Linked DNA regions of Struthio camelus. The protein of the gene in region 1 binds, or shares a complex with, the protein of each later gene. Links are inferred from orthologs where the notes say so. Each region holds a gene or a part of one and is shown on either strand. Other genes may lie near its edges.

What was found.
Region 2: TPRKB (region 1) and GON7 share a complex: the UniProt entries of both Homo sapiens proteins name them as parts of the EKC/KEOPS complex. The link is inferred for Struthio camelus from reciprocal best matches to the Homo sapiens genes TPRKB and GON7.

The regions. Positions count from the first base shown.
Region 1 is NC_090942.1:17,451,928-17,465,176, forward strand, and holds TPRKB (EKC/KEOPS complex subunit TPRKB), read left to right. Parts: upstream 1-7,278; 5' UTR 7,279-7,325; coding exon 7,326-7,469; intron 7,470-8,871; coding exon 8,872-8,994; intron 8,995-11,703; coding exon 11,704-11,880; intron 11,881-12,732; coding exon 12,733-12,819; 3' UTR 12,820-13,128; downstream 13,129-13,249. Other genes in the region: ALG10 (dol-P-Glc:Glc(2)Man(9)GlcNAc(2)-PP-Dol alpha-1,2-glucosyltransferase), read right to left, coding at 1,995-3,050, 5,705-5,902, 6,662-6,826. UniProt on the Homo sapiens protein: Component of the EKC/KEOPS complex that is required for the formation of a threonylcarbamoyl group on adenosine at position 37 (t(6)A37) in tRNAs that read codons beginning with adenine.
Region 2 is NC_090946.1:66,324,783-66,336,943, reverse strand, and holds GON7 (EKC/KEOPS complex subunit GON7), read left to right. Parts: upstream 1-8,463; 5' UTR 8,464-8,497; coding exon 8,498-8,696; intron 8,697-8,873; coding exon 8,874-8,998; 3' UTR 8,999-9,384; downstream 9,385-12,161. Other genes in the region: putative E3 ubiquitin-protein ligase UBR7, read right to left, coding at 375-559, 2,113-2,218, 3,397-3,450, 4,612-4,707, 6,358-6,418, 7,621-7,754, 7,941-8,114. UniProt on the Homo sapiens protein: Component of the EKC/KEOPS complex that is required for the formation of a threonylcarbamoyl group on adenosine at position 37 (t(6)A37) in tRNAs that read codons beginning with adenine.

The DNA.
Region 1 (13,249 bases):
TGCCAGCTAATAATCTTCCTTCTTTTAAAGAACTTCACAGACACCTCTCTACATGTAATTTTTCTACTATCTTGTGATACGGGGCTCTTCAGAAAGGTATTGTGCTCTAAGTTTTGGGGGATTTCTGTCTTGCAGTCACTTTTATTTACAAGAGAATTGCACAGTCGCATTAAAATAGTATATATTTAAACTCAATTCTTTTTACTTGAAACACTGTTGCTATCTCAGTTAAGAATAAGGACAAGGCACAAACACAGTCATTTTCTTAGCAATGTATATAATCTAAGGCATTCAGATACCAATATCAACAGCCATCTTGGACAAATCAAAACGATTGTGGACTATATATAATTTTTGCATCTTGTCAAGGGAACTCTTGCTCCTCTACAAATTCAGGGAATTAAAAAAAATAATAAAAAAAAAGATCTAGAAAACAATTCAGGATCCTAGCCAGAAACCCCACCTGTCTCCCATGTCGCCATTCCAGTTCATTCAATACAAAAATTTGAGTGCACATATAAAGTTGCAGTAAAACATGCATGTGCATATTTATCTTGTTTTTGTTTTATCTGAATGGTAGTCAAAAACAAAGGTAGAAGCAGAAGGCATGCAAGATTGCCCCACAAAATCTGTCCTACTAAAAGCACAGCACAAGACAATGTCCTCGACTCTGCAAGAACCATGCCAGATTCCTGAAAAGCAACCCAATACAAAGTTTCTTGTCTCTTCAACTTGATAAAGCCAGCTAGGCAAGAGGAACGAACTTTGAGACACTACACAGTTTATGAGGTTTTGAATTCCCCTCTGCCACACACACGTAATTCAGTTATATTTATAAAGCTACTTAATAGCTATCTGGAAGTGATCAAATATTTTCAAGCCTAATTAAAGTCATTTACTGAAGGGAACTTTCTTTCCTTCAGAAAATAATGCACTAGATGCTTTAAAAATTCATATACATTGTATTTTTACCTTTGTAAAAAGGAATGTAAACTGCCTAGTGTGTATATATATGAAAAACATTTAAAAGAACAATACAGTAATGCCATTAGTATATTTTTAAGATTACACGTCAACGATCTTAGAAACACTCCAACTTCGGAGCGTACTCACATCCTGCTTCAATACAAACCTGTGAACATAGGACCTCAGGCCATAAAAGCCTTATTATTTAAAAGGGTTTTCATTATACTGTATTCTACTGTGTAATGACACGTTTCAGCCTGGCACATATAAATTACTCCCCTTCTAATAGGTCACATTATCAACTGCAATTTATCTTTTGTTGTATAATAATGTTTATTCCCCCAAAAGAAGGAACATGCACATAGTCTTCACTCTATTTTCTAAGTATCAGTTTGAAATAAAATTTGCAAAACGTCCTAATGATTTAAGAGCCTACATTCTGTTTGCAGAACTAACGTAAGCATTTACAGACCAAAAACTCATGAAAACCCATTAGGATGTAGGTGTTTTTGAAAACTTTAGTCTGCAGTAAGGCTTCATACCTTGACCTTTAGCAGACATAGATGGAAATGGCCTGTGCTGAGGAGTAAATATGCAGCCAGAGGTAATGAAAAGGTTAAACACTTAAATACTTTATTTTAAAGCAAACCTCCAAAACATTACTTATAAACTGAAATATCTTTTGAAATATCTTCAAAAGTATGCTACAGATTATATTATTATCATGAAATATGATTGTAAACATCTCATTTCACATTAGTTACAGAAAGGTTTTCTGAAATTTCCTTACTTCTGACTTTAACTCTAGGACCTCATAAATTCAGTAAATCTAGTATCTTCACATATCAGATCTCACATTCAGTTCCAAGAATATAAGCAATCCATTGATTTTTTTTCCCTGATTTCTCCTGGGGAAATTTTTTTTTACATAATGTAATACACGCTACTTTATTCCAGGGTCTACAGTCCTGAAAAAGAACTGAGTTTTCCTACAGGTATAAAGGTACCAAAAAAAAAAAAAAAAAAAATCACCACATGAACCTCTGCACTTCTTCACTATTTGGCCATTGGAATGTTTTGTTTAAAAAAAGATAAAAAGTCACTACATTCACAAAAATATAAAAAGCCAGCTCAATAAGTTGTCTATAAAGAGATGGAAATGGAATATTGAGCCTATATATTAAGTACGGCAAAATAAAGTAACGAAATTCTAGCAACTTTTGAGGAACTGTAACAGCAAATAAACATACAAAATACATTAAAATCCAGAATATTGATTTTGATGTCAAGGTATCAGCAAAACTCCAGCCAGCAAATATATAGACTGGAACTAACAGGTATTTTACAAGCTCATGTCTTTGGAAGACTTTTCTCCAGACATAGAAAGTATAATGTCTGTTATCTGCTAGTAAATACTTATGAACATAGGTAAATTTCCAGACCAGGAATAAAGAGATGACAGCAATTAAGCTGTACTGCACTGGGTGCTTCCGTAAGGTCAGAAGGAACTTCCTGATTTTAGTAGGGGTCAATAAATGGGGGAAGGAAAAAAAGAGAGTAAACGACAGAAAATAGAACAGCTGAGGAAAGTGCAAACAGGCTTCATGGCTACTTCTGTCACCAACAACTATTCCGCCATTGATGAACACAAAAGCAAAGAACACAACTACTAATATGATGTATGGCCAAGTTAAAGCAATAAGCGTAATTAAGTTTTGAGGTAATATGAGGTATTCAATAACAAACTGGAAAATTCTGATCAGATCTGAAAATGATCCTTTCATGGAAGAAATCTTTTCATCCTTCTTTTTCAGTAACTCTGTCTTCCAGGCCTCATTTAGTTTTTCTGCAACTACATTTCCTGCACAAAAAACCGTCCATACAATATTTGTCTGACGAAACATGAAGCCACAACATCCAAGCAGAGCTGAAGCCTTATGGTTACCATAAAGGCACATTAAATATGAAAAGAGAGTAAAAAATACTGATCCTGGGTCCGTATAATAAAGGAATGTAAAAAAATAAAGGGTGGGAAATATTGCAAGAGTTAATGTAGACAAGATTCTCTGGAAACCAGATACAGCCTAGAAAAGAAGCAAAAAAAATGCAATTAGTAATATCCAATAAAAACCAAAAAAACCCAAAGGGTATCATTCTTCAGAATCCCATTATCACAATATAATGTCTCTTTTGCTCATTGATTCCATTAGTGCACTAGCACGCAAGCTACATTTTTGTAAACCGCCCGTTACGTTAACATAGAGTGCAGGACAATAAAATGCTAAGAGACAAACGAAATCAAGAAGTATAACTGCTGGTGAGTTAAAAATATGGCAAAGAAAATACATCAGCTTCTTCCATATCTCAGATGTTCACATATTTGTAGCATTAAAGTCATTGTGGGAGTATAATTGCTCTCACACCTATGATAAGCGAGTTGCATTAATGGGCAAAAGAAAAGAAAAAAATTTGTTTTCAGTGTTGCATGCCCCTGCAATCACGTCATTAGATTATATTTATTTGTGACACACTAGAACACATCATTCTGTGCTTGCACTATTGCCTCTTTTGAAGCCAGTCCACAGGTGGGCCAGTTAAGCTTCTAACCTTTGGTGCAGCTTTTGTTGTTTATTTTTGTTATAATTCATGAGTTAGAAAAGAAACTTTAAAGAAGGTACAAGATCATACAGTTAAAAACTCCTCCCAATTATCCCACTCACTGCAAGATGCAATGTAATTCACAGCACTAAAAACTGCTGCATGATGGTTCTGAATGATGTAGCGTGGGATGAAACAGCCAGTCACCACCAAATTGAAAACAGAAATAGAGAAAATGCTCAAAGCTCAAGGAAGTGACAACAACGCAAGTACGTTTTGTAACGCTTATACTACAGCCAAGAAACCTTTTTTTTTTTCTTACATTTCTATTTCCACTTCCAAATATAAAATTAAAAGCATTCCAAAAGAGGAAACATTTTACTGATTTTGACCCAGTTCTGTACAGTTCCATCAAGCACTTAAGCATGTAGAGTCCTCTGTAATCTACATCAGAAGACATTTTCTTTATAATGATGGAATACCAGTGAATAGCAAAAAATGTACTTACAGTTTAAAGGTGAAACTAAAGACAGCAAACTAAGCTGAAATAAGCCATTAACTGCTGGATCAATTTACCTGCAACAGGGTTGATGATCCATCACTTTAAACATACAATATTCTCATATCCAAGTTCAACTGTTATGGTCTGGGTGGATCGACAACTAGATGGGTAGAAAACTAGTTAGCTGGTTAGGCTCAGTTAATGGGTCATATTCTATCTGAAGGCTGGTAACTAGAGGGGTACTACAGGGGTCTCTACTGGGACCTGTCCTGTTTAACATCTTTATACTTGGAGACAACAACAAAGCACACTCTCAGCAAGTTTGCAGATGACACCAAACTGGGGGGATGAGGCAACACACTGAAGAGCAGAGCTGCCATCCAGAGGGACCTAGACAAGCTGGAGGAATGGGGTAACAGAAACCTTATGAAATTCAGCAAGGGAAAATGCAAGGCCCTGCAGCTAGAAAGCGAGAACCTACTGCAATGGTTCAGGCTGGGGACAGAGTGACTGGGGAGCAGCTCTGTGGAAAAGGACCCGGGAGTCTGAGCAGACAGAGAGATGAACATGAGGCAGCAGCATCTCCTGGCAGCAAGGAGAGGCAACAGCCTTCTGGGCTGCATTAGCAGAATTGTGGCCAGTTGATCAACCAAGCGATTCTCCCACTTTGTTAGCATTTGTTAGACCACATCTAGAATACTATGTCCAGTTCTGGGCATTCCCAATAATAATAACAAAAAGAAAAGACTTTGATAAACTGGAGTGAGGGGGGAGGGCTGCCAAGATGGTCGAGAACTGCAGCACATGCCCTGTGAGGAGAAGCTGATGGAGCTGGGCTTGTTCAGCTTGGAGAAGGGATGGTTTCGGGGGGACCAAAGAGTAGCCTGACAATACTTATGAGGAGGTTAAGAAGAAGAGGGAGCCAGGCTCTTTGCAGCGCTGCACGGTGGGCCGACAAGTGACAACAGGTATAAATTAAAACAAGAGCGCTTCAAATTGGATGAAAGGAAAAACTCTTTCACCACGAGGCCAGTCCAGCAGTGCAACAGGCTACCTGGAGAGGTTGCACAGTTGCTCTCCATCCTTGGAAGGTTTTCAAGACCCAGCTAGATAAAGCCCTGAGCTGCTTGCTCTGACCCCAGAGCTGACCGTGCTTTGCGCAGGGGGCTGGACTACAGACCTCCTGAGATCCCCTCCAGCCTAATTATCCTATAATTCTAAATCTTGACATCAAATTTGGTATCTTTCTAAAAAAACACATTTTTGCTCAAACACAGCTCATTGGGCTTCGTTGAGGAATCAGCGGGTGAAGTTTTATGGCAAGCCTTAAGCAATTCCAACTAGATGAGCATTCACTCCTTCAGATAAAAAGTCCCTATGAATATTAACTTTATGTTTTATTTCAACTAAACTGTTTACAGGCATGTGCAAGGGTACGTCTTTAGAGGATCACACCCTTAGAGGGAGAAAAAAGATTGTTTCTGGAGAGAAGAAACGCACCTCCCTGACTCAAACTGGTAGTGATACTTGTAGCCACATAAAAACTGAAGATAACTCAAATATCTAATAAAAGAGGCATATGTAGAGTCACCAAAATTGTTTGCACTAGTGCAGAAAATTATTCCACTTGAACTGTACCTTATTTTTCGGATGCATCTTGGACAAAAGCAAGTACAGTAAATAGAAGTTTCCAGCACTGAAAAGGAGGTTAATAAACCTGAGCATCCCTGTAGAGCATACGATGCTTCCGGTCCACCCAAAGAGCCACGCCGCAGGCCTCACTATCCCAACCGAGAGCAGGTACAGGCCAGGCAGAGTAGTGATCATGGGATCCCACTTCAAAACAGAGAGAGGGGTCAGGTTACAGAGCCGCTATCGCAGGGAGAACGGGTCAGAGATGCACAACCCCAGAGACAGTTACGACTGACAGCTGTAGCTTATCCTTCGTTTTGTTCCTTTAGCTATTTACTGAATTTCGGGTATTAGTGTGAAACGTTGACATGTTTTATATGTCCTTCTATGGTGTCACGTGCATTCGATGAGCAGTAAACACAGAATCCCAGAACGGCTGAGGTTGGCAGGGACCTCTGGAGGTCATCTAGGCCAACCCCCCTGCTCAACCAGGGTCCTCTAGAGCACCTTACACAGGATCGCGTCCAGGCCATCTCCAGCGAAGGAGACTCCACAGCCTCTCTGGACAACCTGTGCCAGTGCTCTGTCACCCTGACAGGAAAGAAGTTTTCCTCGTGTTCAGACGGAAGGGCCTGCGGTTCAGCTTGTGCCCGCTGCCCCTCGTCCTGCCGCTGGGCACCACGGAGAAGCGTCTGGACCACTAACTATACCGGACCGCTAGGTAACGGAAAACACAGGCACGCGTTTCAGGCGCCTCCTCCCCCCCCCCCCCCCCAGAAGCACTCCCCCTTTTCCACGCACCCTTACGGCTCCTGAGGAGCAGCGCTCCGCGGCGGCAGAGCGGGGCCGCATCGCCCCGACGCAAGGCGGGGGAAGGAGGAAGCGCTGGGGCGGGCGCCAGGCGCAGGGAGCGGCCCGAGGGGGGGCAGCCAGGGCCGGGGGGAGCCGGCGGTCGGCACGCACCTGCTGGAAGCGGCCCTCGCAGTAGGCCTGCGCCTGCGGGACGTGGAAGGCCTCGTCCATGTAGGGCGCGCGCTGGCGGCGGTTGAGCGCCGCGAAGAGCAGGCACGAGAGCAGGAAGGTGCCGCTCATGGCGGCCGAGAAGCCGTAGGCCGCGGCGCGCTCCATGCTGCTGCCGCCGCCGCCGCCGCCGCCGCCGGGAGAGGCCGCCCTTCCGGGGAGGGGCCGGGCGGCGCGGGCCGCGGCGGAGGCGGTCGGCGGGCGGTGAGGGCCGCGGGAGCGGCGGCGGCGGCGCGGGTCGGCCCCGGGCCCGGGTCCCGGCGGGGCGGGGCGGGGCGGGGCGGGGGGTGCCGGGCGCGGGCCGCCGCCGCCGCCGCCCTGGGGGTGTCGGGCGGGAAGGGGCGAGCGAGGCCGCGGGCGCTGCGCCGGGGGGAGGCCGCTGGCTGGAACATCTGGCTCAACTTATCTCTCATTAAACTCGATGTTCACCTCAAAGAAGTGCTGAGAGTCTGCGCTGAGCACCTGTGACCGGTCAAGCATTACTGAAACGCGGGTCTGTACGAGGCAGAACGTGTGCGGCTTGTGTGTAATGACTGTTCTTGCGGATGCCCTAGGGTAGGTCGCTGCTGTATGTTATTCCGGGCGAAACTGGCGCTTTCGTGACAAGATGCCGCATTTAACGCACCAGCTGGAGCTATTTCCGGACCGTAGCGTGACTCTCCTCCTGTTTAATCATGTGAAAAATGCTGCGGCTCTCAGAAAAAAAGCGATGGAAGGCTGTATTGATGGAGCATTAATAAATCCCGCCATGGTAAGCAAATGTCCTTATTGTCCTGTTCATTCTGCATTATGGTTTTGAAGGCTGCATGGAGTTCTGTCTGCCTAAAAGCTGTAGGAAAATGAGCTGTGTTTGTAGCCTCTATCATGTAAGCTGCTGTGTATACTTAGCTTTCACTGTGTAAATGCAACTCCTTTGATTTGATTATGACACTACAGAAGTATATGTGTCCCTCTATGTAGAAGGTAGAGCCTAGTCTTTTTTGGCAAAAATGGCCAAAAAATAATTCATCTCCTCCTTGATTCCCTTAACGTTCCTACTGCGTGGAGCTATTTAAATCTACTTCCATCTGTAAAATGTATTAATAATCATTTAGTGCTCTATTAAAAACCGCTAATGTTAGGAGCCTTTGTTCTCATCTAAACCCATAACTAGTTTCTGGTTTTTTGTCTTGAATTAAAGCAGTTGTTGGTTAGGGAAGAAAAAAAATCTAATCTGGCAATTAACTGAGAGAAGATTTATTAATGTGATACTTCTTTCAAAAGATTCCAGTAACCTAATTGTGAGTGTAATCTTTATTTTTATGTCAAGCATTGTCTCACTCAGTAAATGATCCCATTGACTTTGGAAGAGCAAGATTTACTGAAATGAATTGCTGGATAGTGCATTGCAGACGGTAATGATGGCAGACTGTCAGAGTCCAGTGCTCTCTGACCAGGTTCTTTTAGATATTCCATGTATACAGAGAGTGCAATGTTTCCTATAAAAGTTTATTTTTGAGGGAGTTTGATGTTACATGGGATTTTGATTTAGCAGAGTGATTCAGTAATATACTGAAATCACAATTCAAGTGTATACACTTAAAAAAATATAGCTGAACAGTTCAGTAACAATACCAATGTGTGGTTGCCATTACTGGTCTCAAATATGCTCGCCGACACGACGCTGAGTGTCCCCAGTTGCTGGGAAGGACTGTGTGGGTTGATATCAGCTCAAGCCCGTTCCTTTCTTTGAAATTTCTTCGTTAGTCGTTGAGGTTTTATACTCTCTATTGGGCTGAGCTGCATATACACTTCCATCATGCTGGTCTGGCTAATCTCAGGCAGACATTCGCATCCTTTTGATCAGCTCAGGAAAAAAACTACTTCCACCAGGTCCAGGTAACAGATATGGCTGCTTATCTAAGATGAAGGCCACCCCTGAGTCCCCTTTGTCTTGCGATAACATCAGTTCTCTGTGCAACAGCTGTGGTTAGCGAGCTGCCTCCTACACTGTCCTTGACGTTTATGGGGCAGCTTGCCCTCTGAGCCTTCTCCCATTGTACGGGTTGTTGATCCGTCACACAGACTTAGCCTAACAAAGTTGAGCGCCACGGTTTTTTTTCCGGTGTTCAAAATATTGCCTAAAATTTCTATTTGTCTATTGTATTTTACAGATTGTAGACCCTTTTCAAATTCTTGTGGCAGCCAACAAGGCAGTTCATCTACACAAGATTGGTAAAATGAAGACCAGAACTCTCTATACAGAAATCATTTTCAACCTTTCGCCAAACAACAATGTAAGATATACAGAACAGTTAGTGTTTTTTCCAGAGAGGCTTGCTAAGTTCCATGCAGTCAAAACTAAATATAAGCATTCACTGAACAGTTTACCTGGCCTTACAACATCATACTCTGATGTACCAGAACCTTCTCTGAAGTAACCAGAATAGTCATATTTCCGTAGTCCTACTGTTGTGCAGACAGAACTCACATGCAGCGATTCTCTCCTTCGTTCTCATCCTTGACAATTTCAGAGTAATCACAGAATGGTTGAGGTTAGAAGGGACCTCTGGAGATCATCTAGGCCAACCCTCCTGCTCAAGAAGGTCCTCTAGAGCATGTTGCCCTAAAATGTGTCCAGACGGGTTTTGAATATCTCCAGGGAAGGAGACTCCACAACCTTTCTGGGCAACTTATTACAGTGCTGTGTCACCCTCACAGGAGAGAAGTTTTTCCTTACATTCAGACAGAAACTTCCTGTGTTTCAGTTTGTGCCTGTTGCCTCTCGTCCTATCACTGGGCACCACTGAGAAGAGTCTGGCCCCATCCTCTTGACAGAGACTTATTACACGGTGATAAGATTCCCCCCTCGGTGCTCTGTTCTCCAGGCTGAACAGGCCCAGCTCTCTCAGCCTTTCCTCATAGGAGAGATGCTCCAGTCCCTTAATCATCTTAGTAGCCCTCTGCTGGGCTTGCTCCAGAAGTTCCATGTCTCTCTTGTATTGGGAATTCTCCTCTATGTTGTTTGCTTTTAGGGTTTTTTTTTTTAATGTAAAAGTCTGTAATATTTTTCTTTAAAAAGGTAAAAATGTTAGGATACCTCCAAATCCTCTCACAACTCGTATAACGGAAAAAAACCCTACTGATTTGACAACACGTTGCCATGAACGTTAGTCACTGTGTGAAATTATAGTCTTAGCAGTCATAGTGAATAACAATACTCTCATTCTGATGTTAAGTGTAATGTATTAAATTAGTGTATATATATTATATTGTATTATAATGTATTAAATGATTTAATTAATACTTCAGAAATTACCCATAATACTCATGCAAATTACTATCAACATTTGACAATAATACAAAAGATGGAAAATAAGACTTTTACTCTTTCTCCTTTAATGTACAGTTCTAGAGCACTACAGAAAGCACCTAGTAAATGATTTCAGAAATAAAATTGTAGAATGCCGATGAAAAATTAATCTATATAGGCTGTAGGGAAATCACTTTCACACAGTTCTGTTCTCATTTTTGCCAGTAATTGAGCAAATGTGCCAACTTCTTTGGAAAAAAAAAATTGACACCATAACTAATATTAATTAGGGGTCAGTGAATCCTGAAAGAGTTAGAAGACAATGGAGATTCAAGAATAACTCTCTCCAGGGACGCATAGCTTAAAATAATGTGGCAGATGTTTAGCTGTCTAGAATGTACTGTGCGTAAATGATGATAAATGATTGATTTTCTTTGCTGCTATCCCTGTCTTCCAAATAGTCCGTTTGCACTGCGCTGTTAAAAATAGGAGAGCATAATGGTGAGCCATAGCTTATTTTTTAACCTATGGACCATTTTGTATAAGGAACCTGGCTTACATTTGTTGTGGTAGCACGTGGTTGTGTCATGTTCAAGCTTAATTAGAATTTTAACACTTACTCAGACTCCCATTTGTCTGACATTTCCAAAATACCTAGGAAGTCAGATAAGTAATAGGTTTGTGAGACTCAAGGGAACTGCAGAGTTTCAGCTTCTTAAGTCATTCCTCAAGCCAAACCCTGTAATAGGTAATGTAAATTCATGACCTGAATGCGTTGATAACAAGGCTTTCATAAAATGTAATTTTAGCTTACAGAGGTTTATTTCCATATGTTCCGTGTAAAATCAGTGGTCACAGATATGCTCCTACAAAGGGCAGTTCAGAGCACTTAATGCTAAGATTTTGCTCTCTTTCATTATGTGAAGAAGTCTCTTTCATTATGTGAAGAAGGGTATGGAAGAAAGCTAGCCTCCTTAGCTAAAGTTAGTATTTGGGAATATCTCTGTGAGACTTTTGCTTTGAAGATGATCATTTACTGCCCCTAGATTTATGAAGAGGAACAGAAATGTAATTAGAGAGACAGAGACGTTTTTTCAGATATTCTTCCCTAAATATTTTTAGCCTTTATTCTTCCACAGTCGTTTTATCCTCAAATTTCTGTATCAATGGATCTGTTTGATTGTAAACTTCAGCTGTAGACACACTCAGCAGCAGATACACTAGCAAAATTAAGAACTGTCTGGTAGGTGTTAGGCTGTACCATTTCTGTATATAGATTTTGTTTTGTTTTTTTTTACCGTTATATATATATTTTTAAAAACAAAAACAGTAACCAAAAAAAAAGCCTCAAATGTGGAAAGAGACTTGACCTAACCGATGTAGCAGTTGTGGTCACACAGTAACTATTATTCTAGTTTTCTGATGATTTAAGATCATGCAGTCTTGCCAAGGGGGGAAAAAAAACCCTAAAACTTCTTAACAACTGTTTTGATCCAGGTGGAATAAAACCCCCAGACTACTAATAGAAGTTAGTGTAAGAAGTAATTTCTCTCTTATAGTTGATTAACATTTTATTAATATAGATTTTGTCAGTTTATACTTCAGGTTTATTTGACCCACTAACTGAAAATGTTGCTTAAATGTAGTAAAAAAATGACTAGTTAAATTTTGGGTTTTTTTCATCTTTCCTTAGATTTCAGATGCATTGAAAAAATTTGGTATTTCAGACAGTGACACAGCGGTACTCATTGTTCTGGTTGAAGACAGAGAAAAAACTGTAAATCTGGAAGATGTAGCATCTCAAGTAGAAGGCCAGCAGGTTTCTCTAGATGAACTCCCCCAACTAACAGACATTGCAAAAATTAAAAAGGTATGTAGCCAAAAGAGAGAATTGTGGTTGAGGAAAGGGGTATTTTATTTGATTGTCTGATTAAATCTCAACTGACATAACTCATTTAGAGTTTATATTTCTTTAATATGACTGGAAGCTTGCTATAAGTAAAACTTGATTATTTGTTTCTTTTACTAGTTTTACTCTGGGGGAAAAGGTTTCTAGTGGTCGTCCTCTAATGTACCAAATTTTGAGTCATCAAATTCTTAGTATCCTCAGAAATTTAGAACACAGAAATGAAATCTAGATTGCTCCCCACTGTTCTGTCGCTTCCTTTTCTTGTTTTCCCAAGTAAATATACATTTAATTAAAAATAAACGTTCAGTTCTGCGTAGTTTCATAATCTTAAATACATAAATAGTCCCAGCACGGGCAACTAAAATAAGAATGATTTGTTGGTTACCTGCTAGGAACCGTGTTAGGGCATTTGCACTTTAGCAGATTACCGTAAGCTAGGAAGGTATCTTGAAGTATGTGTGTTCCATGTGATGAAATTGAAGCAGCTTAAACCGTCTTGCTTATGTCAGTCAAAGTAATGGTGGGAGAGAGATGAGCAAAACTGGACGTATCATAGCATATAACATGTAGAGCTGAAAGTACTGTTATCTATCAGTTTCTTAGCTTTCCCTTGGCTCTGCAGTTTAAGAATTTGCCTGGTTCCTACTCCTTCATCTAGCCTGCAAGACAAGACATACATTTCTACTGTAAAAAATTGGAGGGGGTTAATGTATATATTTTTAAATATATTTTTAATATTTTTTTTAAAGTTAAGTATGATAACTTTTTTCTGCCTTATACAGCCTTTATGTTTTTCTGGGTTTTTTTCTGCAGATGTACAAACTTACTCCACAGGAAGAAAAAATCGGCACCTTATTGGATGGCATTATTTGCAGAATGTCGACAAAAGATGTTTTATGAAAACGTGCAAATAAATTTTTTTTAAAAAGAAAAACAGATCTTTTAAGCTTCAAAAATACTTTGTGGTAATTCAGCCTGTATTTCAGAGAAATCGGTGTAATACCGAGTAGTGTGGTGGTATCTGAGCTTTAACTATAAATACTAGCTTGGATGTGGGAGTAATCTAAGCTATATTCTAAGCACAAGCAATTCTGCTGTACTAAGCAAAATTTGCTATTACCCTTTCTGTCTATGTTCTTATTTAACAAGAGAAAAGATCACTTTTCCCGATACCTTGAGCTGATCATAAAAAGAAGGCTTGAAAATCTGTACTGACTTTTCTCTTTCATTGAGCATTTTATCATCCACAAATAGGATTCAAACACTGTAAATTATTTTTATTAATCCTACTGTGACTTGTTTTATTTTGGCACCCCTGAGGGGTGATATC
Region 2 (12,161 bases), on another chromosome or scaffold:
TTTTTGTTGTCTCAGACATTTATTTCTATAGAATATATAGAGAGAGCCGGACTATCATGCAAATGCAGCCACAGTGCATAATACCACTGTACTAGAACAAACTCAGGAGTTATTTCAGTGTGAAGGCAGAACAGCTGACAAGTACAGGGCTGACTCTTTACTTGCAAGTAAATCACCCACATTTCCAAGCACGTTCCATAGCCTATTCCATGCTCCACAGAGAACACAGATTTTAGCATCTCAGTAACAAAAATACAGAAAACGAGCATGGAAATAGACAGAAACCATTTACCTGAACCTACACAGAAAGAGGTGGGCTTTAGTTTCCCTATCAACAGGATGATGCATACAACAGAAAAGAAAGCACATTTTACCTCTGGACATGAAGGCCCAGAGCTAGTAGATGGTTCATTAAACTGTTCTGTTCGCTTTCCCTCCTCCTTTTCTTGGTGTTCTACTCCACTTTCTTTTTTTATTTCTTTCTTCTGTTCTTCGTTTTCCTCAACGTTCAGGACAATCCCCTCATCTTCAAAAGAGTTCACTTTGGTCAAAGCAGGAACTAGGACGATGCATATCCATGTAAATAAAAATACTGTGCCAGGCAAAGTACAGACTACTACATGCTTTCTTTTTTGCTTTATAATGCCGTGTTACAGGGCACCTAGACTGTCTGATACAGATCATAACCAGAGTTCTAGATACATTCTACAGTTATCCAAAAACAGTGACCTATGTATACAATGAAACTCCTTCCTCTTTCATCACCTCCCATATTCCCATCCACAAATACTCTGCCTCCCAAAATGTAAGACCCTAGGAGAAGGAAAAGGGTAGCATAATTTCAGATAGTGTGTGACAGCTGCTGAATCTGTGATAGCTATCAAGAAGTGTCAAGAAGGACAAGCAACTTTTTTGTTGACTTTGTCCTTCCATACCTTTTATAAAGCATTTGCAGCTGTCTTCAGCTTTATACACGGTTTTGCAAAAGACAATTTTAGCAGTTCTTTATACACAGAATTGTAAATTAATAACAATTCAACATACCAAGCACAAGACTTTCTGTAGACCCTCTGCTGCACGTGTTCTTACTAACCAGAAGTTACAATAATGTAACTTCAGCTGAATGCTTCAAGAGTTTTAGTTTTCCCCATAAAATCTTTTGCTAAAGAAAGATACTAATTTTCATCAAAACAGCTCAAAAATACGAAGTAAATTCTACCAAGGAAAAGTCACAGTTGTCACCTGTACTACTTCTAAGGATGTACTAATAATGTATGCATCTTTGAACAGTTTGGGGTAACTCAACATGCAAGTGCAGTGATCTCAGCAACCAGAACGCTATGAAAGATTAACTATACTAACTGCTTCCTTGTGTCAATTTTACCTTTTGATGTCAATTCAAATGTGAGCATGGTAACACAGCTGGATGTGGGGGGGAGGGAAAGCAAAAAAGAGAACCCATCTTAGAATTCTTAAAATTACCATTTGAAATTCCTGGTGAATGAGTGCTCAATCTCCACTCAGTATAAGGAATCTTTAGGAAACAAGACTACGTGAAACCAGCCCTTTCCACTGAAAGCAAGTTAGCTGCTCTTCTCATCCTGCAGAGACCATGTACTGAACACACACCTGGTGTGATCACTGGTCTCCCCTGAGGGAACACACAACCCAAACAGAGCTCCAGCTATGTTCAAATTAAGATTTTACACGCTCTCTTTCAGGTTCAGAGTCTCTTAAACCCAGCTGTTTTCCTCACAGCTTCCCTTATGATGGCTCTTCAGATCTTTTGATTGAGCCTATAACTTAAGTTCCTTGGGGCAAGTAATAGATCTTCATCCATCCATGTGCTAGCATGCCTTTGATGAAATAAATAAGGTAGTGACAACTATGGCATTAAGATTTATGAACCAGACTTCTTTTTTTTTTTTTTTTTTTAATAGAACAGTTAGTGCAGCCTTATATGTTTCACTGCTAAAGGTGGTTATCTGGCATGATGAATATCATTTACTACCACTTACATATATTATGTCAATAATCAATAATTAATAATCAATTAAGTATGAGAAATACATACTAAAGAAATATTGGCTCAGAAACGTTAGTTTCCTTTACCTGCTAATTGCGAAGCATAGGCCCATAGGAAATGGCAGTGCTTCATGCAGGCTTGGCATACCATTTCATGGAAGTCTCCGCTTTCAGGAGGCACTGCACCAAGATGCTGTCAAAAAGAAACAAGCACACAACCGTGAAACACTGGCTGCAAATTAACAAATTCAACTTTTTAGTTTTAGTGCAAGTAAAACGTCAGCTGCTATCTTATTTTCACTGCAAGCATGCAGTCCTGCTTACTTTCTACAACCAGCATCAGTATAAGCAAAAGGTGGGAAAGAGCAGATCAAATTCCAGGGAAAAACTGAGATCGCAGTGCCTTTGTTTACTGTCTTTTATGCTTTCTGCATACCCAGAAATCTCAGTTCTATCTGTATCTCATTTCTAAACGTCGTTCTTCTAAACACTGTCCTAAATATAGCTGCTTAATAAGATATCTAACACATACTGCAACTTTAAACTCCCACGTTAACTTTTTGTGATTGTTTCCTTACACATAAGAAATTGTAAATCTTCATTGTTCGCATACTGAAATTGAGAAGAATTAGGTCTCAAAGCCCTCAAATAAATTTATGAGAAACACTGAGGCAATGCCTCAGTGCACTCAACTGTTTTCTTTTGAAAAACATTCTTATACAGCTTACAATATGCAGCATAACATCCTTAATGCCCATATTTATATATAAAAAAGGAAACCCACATTTTTATCTACAGAACCTATAACTGAAGCAAATCATCCTGTTTTCTTCCTTGTTCCAGCAACGTCAAACATTTTACTTTCTTTCATCCACTGTGGAATTTCACTCATGCCCTCAAAGGCATGACAAGCTGAATCCTTGCTCGTGCATTAAGTAGGGCATTCAGTAAAGCGATTCAGTAAAGTGCTTAGCTGCTTCTAAAAGATTTCTCCAAAGTCTGTAATCAGGGACCAACAGTGCAATTTGTTCCTTACTATTTAATGTAATTACAATTCAAAGCATCCCTACTCAGATTCCAATTATTATAATTTTTCAGTTAAAGACAGTTACAAACCTATTATTTTATTCCACAGAAGTAACCTTGAAAAAGTAGAGGTATTCCTAGTTATTTTGGACCAGAGTGAATAGCAACACAAGATTAAACATTTAGTAATACCTTGCAGAAGCTGAAAAGAACTGCCCTCGAACTTATGTAAAAATCTTCTGAGAACTACAGCAAATCTTTCCAAGGAAGAATTACCATACAAAACTAACTGACATTAATTTATTTCTATGCAAATAACAATTCTGCTACTTATAGTTTCCTTACCCTTCCGTGGAACCAGTCTTCACAAACTATGCATTGGATCATTTCATCTGGAATCTAGATGAATGGTCGTATTATTAGCGTTAATATCAACCTTCAGAATCTTTCACAAGCCTCAAACTGCAGTATTATGCAAAGCCCACTCAAGCGAATTGCATTTCCCTCTTCACCCACTCACACTGAGCTGCCATTAATAAGTAGTTACTGTTTCATTAGTCAGTTTGCTTCGTTAAAGTTCTAGAGCATGTGTAATTTATTAGATTATGAAGACCATGGAAATTCCCAGTTGTATTACAAAACTAGTTTTCCCAGCAGAGCAAGACATTTTTGTACAAAAGAGCAAATAAAAGCTGACATGGTATCAGTATCTTTCTTCCTGTAAACAGAAATGCATAAATAGGGGACTTATCAAAACAAGGATATTTATTATTCTCAGTGTCATCAGGTTTTATTTAGGAATGCCATATTCCTAACTTAACTGTCCATAATACAAACTTAGTACAAACTGATTTATTATGAAATAATTATTAATGATTTCTTTAGAAATATTTAGATTTCACTAAACTTGGGAGAAATTAGTTCATATTTTATAATAATACTAATACAGTCTTTTCCTATTTGGAGGATTTATGCCTTTCTTATTCTTTCTGTTCCTAACAAACTCATTTTTTAACATCTAACTTTTATAACTGCAAAGGAAAGTTTCTATGCGTAAACCAAGTGCCATGTTTTAATACTTCAGACAGAGAAACAGCATTTCCACTGATATAAAGGAAGGCTAAAGCCACTGTTAAAAGACAAAACATCCCCACCCCAGAAGCAGTCTTGTTAGAGCACTGTCACAAGCGTGAGGAAGCAGATTCTGATCTCTCATATCAAGTGACTTCTCTGTGTTCGTAGGATTTCTCAAGATAAACCCATTCCCTAAGAGAACCATATAATTCTACAGAGAGGAAAGCAGAGATGAGTGTACCACCATTTTGTCTGAATGATGGCGTGTCTTCCTCCTCTGTTTTTAAAGTATAAAGAGTTTTAACTATTTTTAAAAAGAAAGTGAGAATGTATTACTTTATATAGTGAAAGACAGTCAAAAATAATATCGATCATAAGATTTCTGAAAGTGGGATCTTCCTTAAGAAACAGCTCGAGGATCACCCTTTGCACAGTGGTTTGTATAGACACCTTCTGAACATGGTTACTGCATATTGCATTTCTTACCTCATCTTCAGGATCGGGATAAGGTCTTTTACAAGTACAGTATAATCCAAAGAAATTGTCATTATACTTATTTCCTGAATTCACTTTGCCCTTTTCCTAGAAAGAAAGGAGAAATTGTTTCAATAGGCAATGCAGTGAGAAACAGAAGACCGGAAAGATGCATACCCTAAAAAAAATTTTTACTTCCTAAAAGCGGTCATTACACTCATCAGCTTGAGCATCTGAAAACAAAGATATTACCCTGAGACCCCTATGTTATACAGTCGGCAGAAGACAGGGCACGTGAGGAGTACTGAAGTTCAAAAGGAAAGACGAAGAACAGTCTTTTCACACACAGAACAGCAAATGGCAACTATCGTGGGTTTTGTTTAAAGCTATTGCTCATCTAAAAATGCCTAAGAGCATAATATTTCTTTAACAATAACTGTTGGGAGCCAAATTTAAATTTCTTTTATATGTGCACAATTCTTTCCAGAAGGCCATTAGCCACTAAGCTTTTATTCAAACAAAATCCTTGAGGTTTGATCACCAATCATGCATGGCTGTTGCCATTGCAGCAAAGTCTGCACATTTACTGTGCACCTTCCACACGCTCTTTCTTTTTTTAAGCATCCAGACTGTGGTCCAAACTCAATTTTGTTTAATGTTATGTTTTGTTTAATGTTTAGCTTACACTAAATTAATGTCATCTAAACCTCACTCCATATGAGAGGGTGTTCCAAATTACAGAACACACTGAATGAAGTTCAGTTACAGCTAATTCCACTTCAAAAAATAACTAATACAGCTGGGGCCGGAGGACTTCAGAAGTGTATGTACTTGCAGCCTAAGACCACAGTCAGCCCTTGCAAAAACAGCTGTGACAATTTATATGCTATAAAATGCTTTTTACCACTACTCTGTTAAAAGAAGAACAGATGATATGAGCTCACTTCATCCATGAAGTCAGCCAGCTGAACATACTGATGTTGAAGGTCATTTAAACTAGCAGATTGATTTTGCACTGAAGAGAAGGAGGAGCCATATGATCCATTTCACTGACTCAAACAAGGAGCAGTAACGTCTTAGAATTGCCACACGCGACTCTGTAGGGATTACCTGACTGCAGCTCTAGGCTTACTAGCTCTGGATCAGCCCCAATTCTGCCAGGACCAAACAGGTATACACAGAACCACTTGCTGTTTCTACACTTGGAGCATTATCATCTCAGGAACAGAACTGCAGGCAAGCCAAAAAGCTTCTTTCCTCTGTCTGCTTTCCAGAACATTACCAAATACTTAATGAGTCCAAACTGCCCACTGAGCATGAAACTACAGGGAGCTTAATACAGTAAAAAACTACTCCTTCAGAAGACTCCAGTGACAGCCTATCAAGAAAGATTAGCGCACTAACGCTGCCACAGGAAAGGGGATGGAAATGTTCCTTCAGCACAATCTGAAGTTTCCTTAAAGCAACTGTAAAATCATACCCCAAAAAGATTCTCCTGAAGCCAGCTTAGAGATAGCAAGAGTTATCAATACAGGCATCACAACCTGCTAAAGCATTTTCGCTGTTTCAAACATTGAGCTAGCTATGTATGCTAGCAGCTGCATCCAAGAGTGACAAAGCTCAAACGTTGCCCCTCATTTAACTTGCAGGGAGAAGAAGAGGCACAATATGAGTCAGCACTCTCTAAGGCAAGATACCACAACCTTCTAAAACTGTTATTTTGATTCTGTATGTCTAAAAACCTGTATCTGAACTTACTGGAAGTAACTTGCACTGCAAATTTTTGAATTTGCTATTTCCACAGTCACAGCGGAAGTTCCTGGAAAGAAAAACAAAGCATTTCAGATTGATTATCTAAAAATGCATTAACTTTTGTATTTGCAACAATTCCCAACAGTTTATTAGGAACCATAAAAATATTCTTGCAGCTATTTAAACAATAGCATCTGTTAGAACTGGCCAAAGAGCCTTGCGGCCTTACCCTCTCATGCTGTGTTTCTGGCAGATCTCAGCTAACATCATCATTTACAACAGCATTTGGCTGAGAGACCTCAATAGAACAGCTAACTGAGGGTGCTGCAACTACCACATTCAAAAAGGCAAGCATGTGTATTGGCAAAAGCGTGTAAATTGGTTCATCTCCAAAGGCTAGGCTAGATCAACACAGACGATTAAGCTCTTATCTCCTATTCAGGACCCTAAATTCTCACTAAAATAGCACGGGACACTTGGATAGCTAAAGAGAATGGAGGAACGTGACTACTTAATTAACCTGACCTAAGTTTCCGGCCCAGTTTTGCAAACTTCCATACTACTGGAAACACGGTATCTTAGCATGAGTTGCACATCTAAACATTGTCCTGCTTTGGTCCATTAAAACCCATCTTAAATTTTTTTTTTTATATATAGCAGAGGACGCTGTGGGAAAATTGTTCTCTGGACAATTAATCTAGATACCAAAATTCTTCAAGGAGTTTCGAAGTACTCAGACCATTAAGGAAAACACGAGAGGGGAGGACAATTATTAGTTGAAATCACTGTGTTTCAGTACCCTGTTAAAGAAAATGCTGTATTTCACGTCAGAGATGCTTGTGTTGCACTAAATAATTGCATGAACCTTAAATGATTACCTGATTTGCAAGCGAAATTGCAAGGATAAGCCTTAGCATTTAAAAAGCAATTGTGGCAAGCACATTCAGTAGTTCCCAAGAAAACCCACGGGATGAACTCTGGAAACCAAAAACTTCGTAGATTCGAAAAGACGCAATACCCCTAGTTCTTACGGTACTGCTTCCACAGGGGGAGACTCAAATTGCTCTGTGCCTCTCAGCGTTACTTTTTATTTCCCTGTTGCAAGCAGCCTGTGTGTACTTCAGGGCACAAGATGGACACAGGTGTTTGTTAAGAGGAGGACGCACTCGACGTCTGCGGAGGCGCTACGCTCGCTGTTCTGCCGTCCCGCTTCGCGGTTTGGCCGAAGCCCCGGCAGCAGCGCTCCTCCAGCTGCGGGTCGCACGTTACCTCTTGGTGTACAGCTCGAACAGCTTGTGCGTGCCGTGGCACTCGTAGCTGCAGGCCAGGCAGATGCCCGCCGGCTCCTCGCCCGGCGGGGTGCAGGTGCTGCAGGCGTACAGCGCCTGCCTCTTCACGGCGCCCTGCAACGAAACGGCGCGCGTGGGCACGGCGGCGCCGGGCCGGGCCGGGCCGGGCCGCTGCGGGCGGCGAGCCCCGCGCAGCCCGGCCGCCCCCCGCCCCCCGCCCGGGGGTCCCTCGCGGCCCCGCCCCGCCCCGCCGCGAGGCGCCAGGTGCGCGCGCCCGGCCCGGCCCGGCCCCGCCCCCACCTGGGAGTAGCTGCATCGCTCGTGGTCGCTGCCCCCCAGCACGGCCCGCGCCTCCTTCTCGAGCTCCTCGTTCTCCGCCAACACCTCCGCCAGGGACACCACGGGCTCCTCCGGGCCCCCCGCCCCGCCGCTCCCGGGCTCGGCGCCCTCCTCCGCCGCCGCCGCCGCCTCCATCGCCGCCGCCGAGGGCCGAGCCAAGCCGAGGCGGGAAAAACGCGTCTCGGGCGCCAGGGGGCGCCGCGGCGGAAGCGGAACCGCAACCGCAACGGCGCGCGCGGCCCACGTGACGCGCGCGGCGGCGAGTCACAAAGAGGCGGGGGGGGGGGGGCGGAGGCAGCTGCCGCCGCGCGGCGCTGTGTTGTGGCACGCGGCCTGCGTGAGCGGCGCTGTGGGGCGGGGCTTGCGCGCGCGATGCGCGGCCTCGCGGGCGGGTTGCGAGCGCTTCCGGGTCAGCCCGCGCGGGCTGCGGATTGGGTGGCGGCGATGCCCGTCACGGCCCCTTGCCCGCCCTCCCCCTCCCCCTCCCCCCCTCCGGCGGCGGCGGCGGCAGCAGCGGGATGGAGCTGCGCGCGGAGCTGACGGGCCGCGACGGGCGGACGTGGCCGCTGCGGGTGCGCTGCGAGGCGGAGGCGGGCGCGGGCGGCGAGCTGCGGGGGCTGCTGCGGGGGCTCGAGAAGCTGCAGGAGCAGGTCGCGGAGCTGCTGGGGCCTCTGGTGCAGGAGGAGAGAGAGGCGGGGGGCCGCGGCGGGCCGCGCGGTGAGTGGCGGGCGGCCGTTGGGCGCGTGCCGCGGGGCGGGGCGGGGGCGCGCGGCGAGCCGGGCGCCGCGCGCCCCCTCTGCCTCAGCGCCCTCCCTCTGGGCAGCCGTGTGCTACTGGAGGGGGGCTGTGTGCCTTTTTCAACACCTCATCCGCTGTCTGCTTGAACCCTGGTAGGTGATGTTGGGGAAGAGGAGGAGGAGGAGGAGGAAGGAGATGAAGATGAAGATGAAAACAACGTTGACGTGAAAGCAAATGCAGATGGCCCACCTCTAAAACGGACAAAAGTTCAGCAGTCCTGACTATGGCGTGAAAGACTGTATTTAGGCCTAAAAAAGAGACTTTACAGCAGTATTGAATGTAAGTGTTCTTTTGGAGGGTGGTACCTCGGGGGTGGGCAGACTGTTCTTGCAAGGCAGGTGTCAGCGTTTTTCTTCCTTTTGCTCATGTTTTAAAAATGAAATGTAGATCACTGTCACTATTTCAATATAAGAAGCCTAATAAAAGGGTGTGTATTAGCATTAGCAATGTGCTTTTTACAGGAAGCGAATATTAGGCTGAAAAGATTGAGAATTTTCAGTAAACCAGGTGACAGATATGAAACACTTTTAATGGCTTCTCCTGATCACAGTATTTCTTCATATGACTTAAAACCAAACTATTTTAAAATAAAATAATAAAATATGAAGCCCGTTATTTTGTCAGCTATGGTTTTTAAATGGTATAAGACAAAGAAATCATTTGTATGGAGAGAGAATAGTGTAAGATCACTTGAGTATTCAAAATAAGTTACAAACACTTGCACAGATGTGACTGTCTGTTCCTGAACGAGCCTAAAAGATGGCAGATTGTTTCTGCGTATAATATAAAAGGTTTATTTTAGTCACCCATCACTGAAGTACTTTCCTGGTAAAGGTCATAGAAGAAGTAGATTGAAAGAGCTGGAAATCTTAGTCTCCAAACATTTTGAATTTTTATGATAGCCAGGAAGCTGACAAGTCAATGCGACTTGGATAATTATCTTTTATATCATTATACAAGTAAAACATAGCTGTCTATCCTAGTCATCTGTTTCTTCCAAACAATCTTTGTTTTTTCAAGAACCATTTAATCTTTATATACCTTTTTCATCACTGACTTTTAACCAGTTTGATTTTTAGGCCGATTCAGCAGCTAAGTCAAATAAAGTGAACGTCACAGCCTTATTAATCTGCCTATGTAGAAGTTTCAGCATTACGTCAAAGGACAAAAGGAGCAAAGTGAAATTTTATGATACTTCCTACAATAAAAACAAAAGTCAGGGCAGGAACTGGGGGCAATATCACATTCTACACTGGTTAGCGTAGTTGATTTTAGAGGAGAAAAAACGTAAGTATTCTTGTAACACCTGCCAGTATGTTATGTTTTTGGCTGTACAAACCAGCATAACCCAATCTCTGTGCTGAGCAGGAAAGAGAGATTGTCCTGTCATCTGATGATAATGCAGTAGGTGGAATGTTATCAGGCTGTCAGATGGTTCTTGCAGGGAGGGTGAGGGTTGTAAATGCTTCCTGTGTGTTACTTTAATTCCAAATTTCTGTTTGGTGCATGCTTCTGTGAACAAGTATAAGATATGCTCGATACCCAGTCCACCGAGCTTGCTGTGAAGCCTGAGAGTTTTCCCTACCAGAAATTAGCTAGCTGATTACTAGTGTAAAAAGCATTAATTTCCATGTGTTGCAAAACAGCTGGCATTGCTTGTTTCTTGGTATTCTAGAAATAGAGCAAATCTTGACACATGAATACTGAGGGCAAACAAAATTATGGGTGAATTTTTACTAGCACAAAACTACCTGCATTCATTTGAAATCATGCAAAAAGTTGAAAAAGAGATCCAGTAAATGTATCTTGGATGTCTTTCTAACAAATTCACACAGGACACACCTATTATTTTGCTAGCAGATATGACAGTCATAACTGAGGAGAAAAGACTGTGACATCAAAGACTAGAGAGTTTTATTTGCTGAGAACCTAAGATAGGAAAAAAGTGTACAAATGAATTCTGACCTCTTGTCAGGCTGCAAAATCTTAAGAGTGATAAAATACTTAAAATGTTCTTTTAGTGTAGATAATATATGCATTGAAGGAAGTGGCTTATCAAAGCGGCACAGGCAACATTTCACATACAAAAGCTAGCCTAATAAAGACATCAGAGGGCTGCTTCATGTGACCTGTGCTAAACTAACAACATGTGTTTTGGGTTCCATGTAACACAGCTTTAGAAGCTTTTTATAGAGCTCTACCCAAAGCAGTATTTTTTTTTTATTTTTTCCCTCCCTCCTTCAAACAGCACTCCTAACCACTGCAGTAATGTCAAGAGACTCCTTAAAAATAGTCCACAGGTACACAGAAGTTGACATGTCACCGGTTGAAAACCATTGGTGTAGACCAACAAATCCTAACTTTACTAGCCTGGGAATAAATTAAGGTAATGCTCCAAGTAATGAGATAACTGTTTTCCTGTGTCAGCCTGGACAGTGGTGACATCTTGCACTTGAGCTCCAGAAGAGTTCAATGAGCACTGAGATGAAAACGGCCACTCAAATTTTGCTTTTAAAGAATCATTTCTAGTCCTTCTGTTTGCAGCAGAATTTTGAAAGAATGAGGAGGATACTGGGCTTTCAACCTTAAGCGTTCCTAAAACATAGGCTCACCTGTGACATAAGTGCCAAAACTCTTCAACAGAGAACTTTATTTTTCAGAGAGCTGCTGTTCTAGGGTAACTAGGCACACAAAAGTTGTGGTGCTTTTTTCCCCTCCCCCCTCCCTGTCTGTTCTTAGAGCTGCGTTGTGGACTCTTTGGGGCGGAGGCCCTCTCTCCCACCAGGACCGCAGCCTCCCAGTTCTGGTACTGTCCTTGTAGTCAGGGAAACAGGTATGTGGGGCAACAGAGGTAACTAGCTGTGGCATCCCTCTTCCAAGCAACCAAGTCACTGAGGTCTACAGCATTTCCCATGGCTGTGGGAAACAAGCTCTAAAGTTTTCTGTTATGTGGAAAAACTTAGCACTCATTGGTGTGGAGAATATAGCAAAAAAAAAAAAAAAAAAAAGTCTGCAATGTGCAATGACTTATATCAAGCTGTGCTAGAAGATGAAACTCCCTGAGCAACCCTGTGAGAGCAGGTACAATAATATGTACACCACCAGTCAACTGTGTCCTGCATTTTAGGTAGAGTAGATGAGCCTTGATGGAAGAAAGCTGGCATGTTCTTTTTGTCTCCAAGACAGAGTAGTGCTTTTGTACCTTAACCAAAGTTTAGGCTGACACAGAATGAGTCCTGTTCACCATATGATCTGTGCTGTTTATTGTTGTTTGTACATCTTAATAATAGGCCTTAGTTTTATTAGCCAGAAAAGGGCTAGGGCAGATGGATTTACTTAGTGCTAAAGGAGAGAAGGGGAGAAAATGTTTATATGCTCCTACTG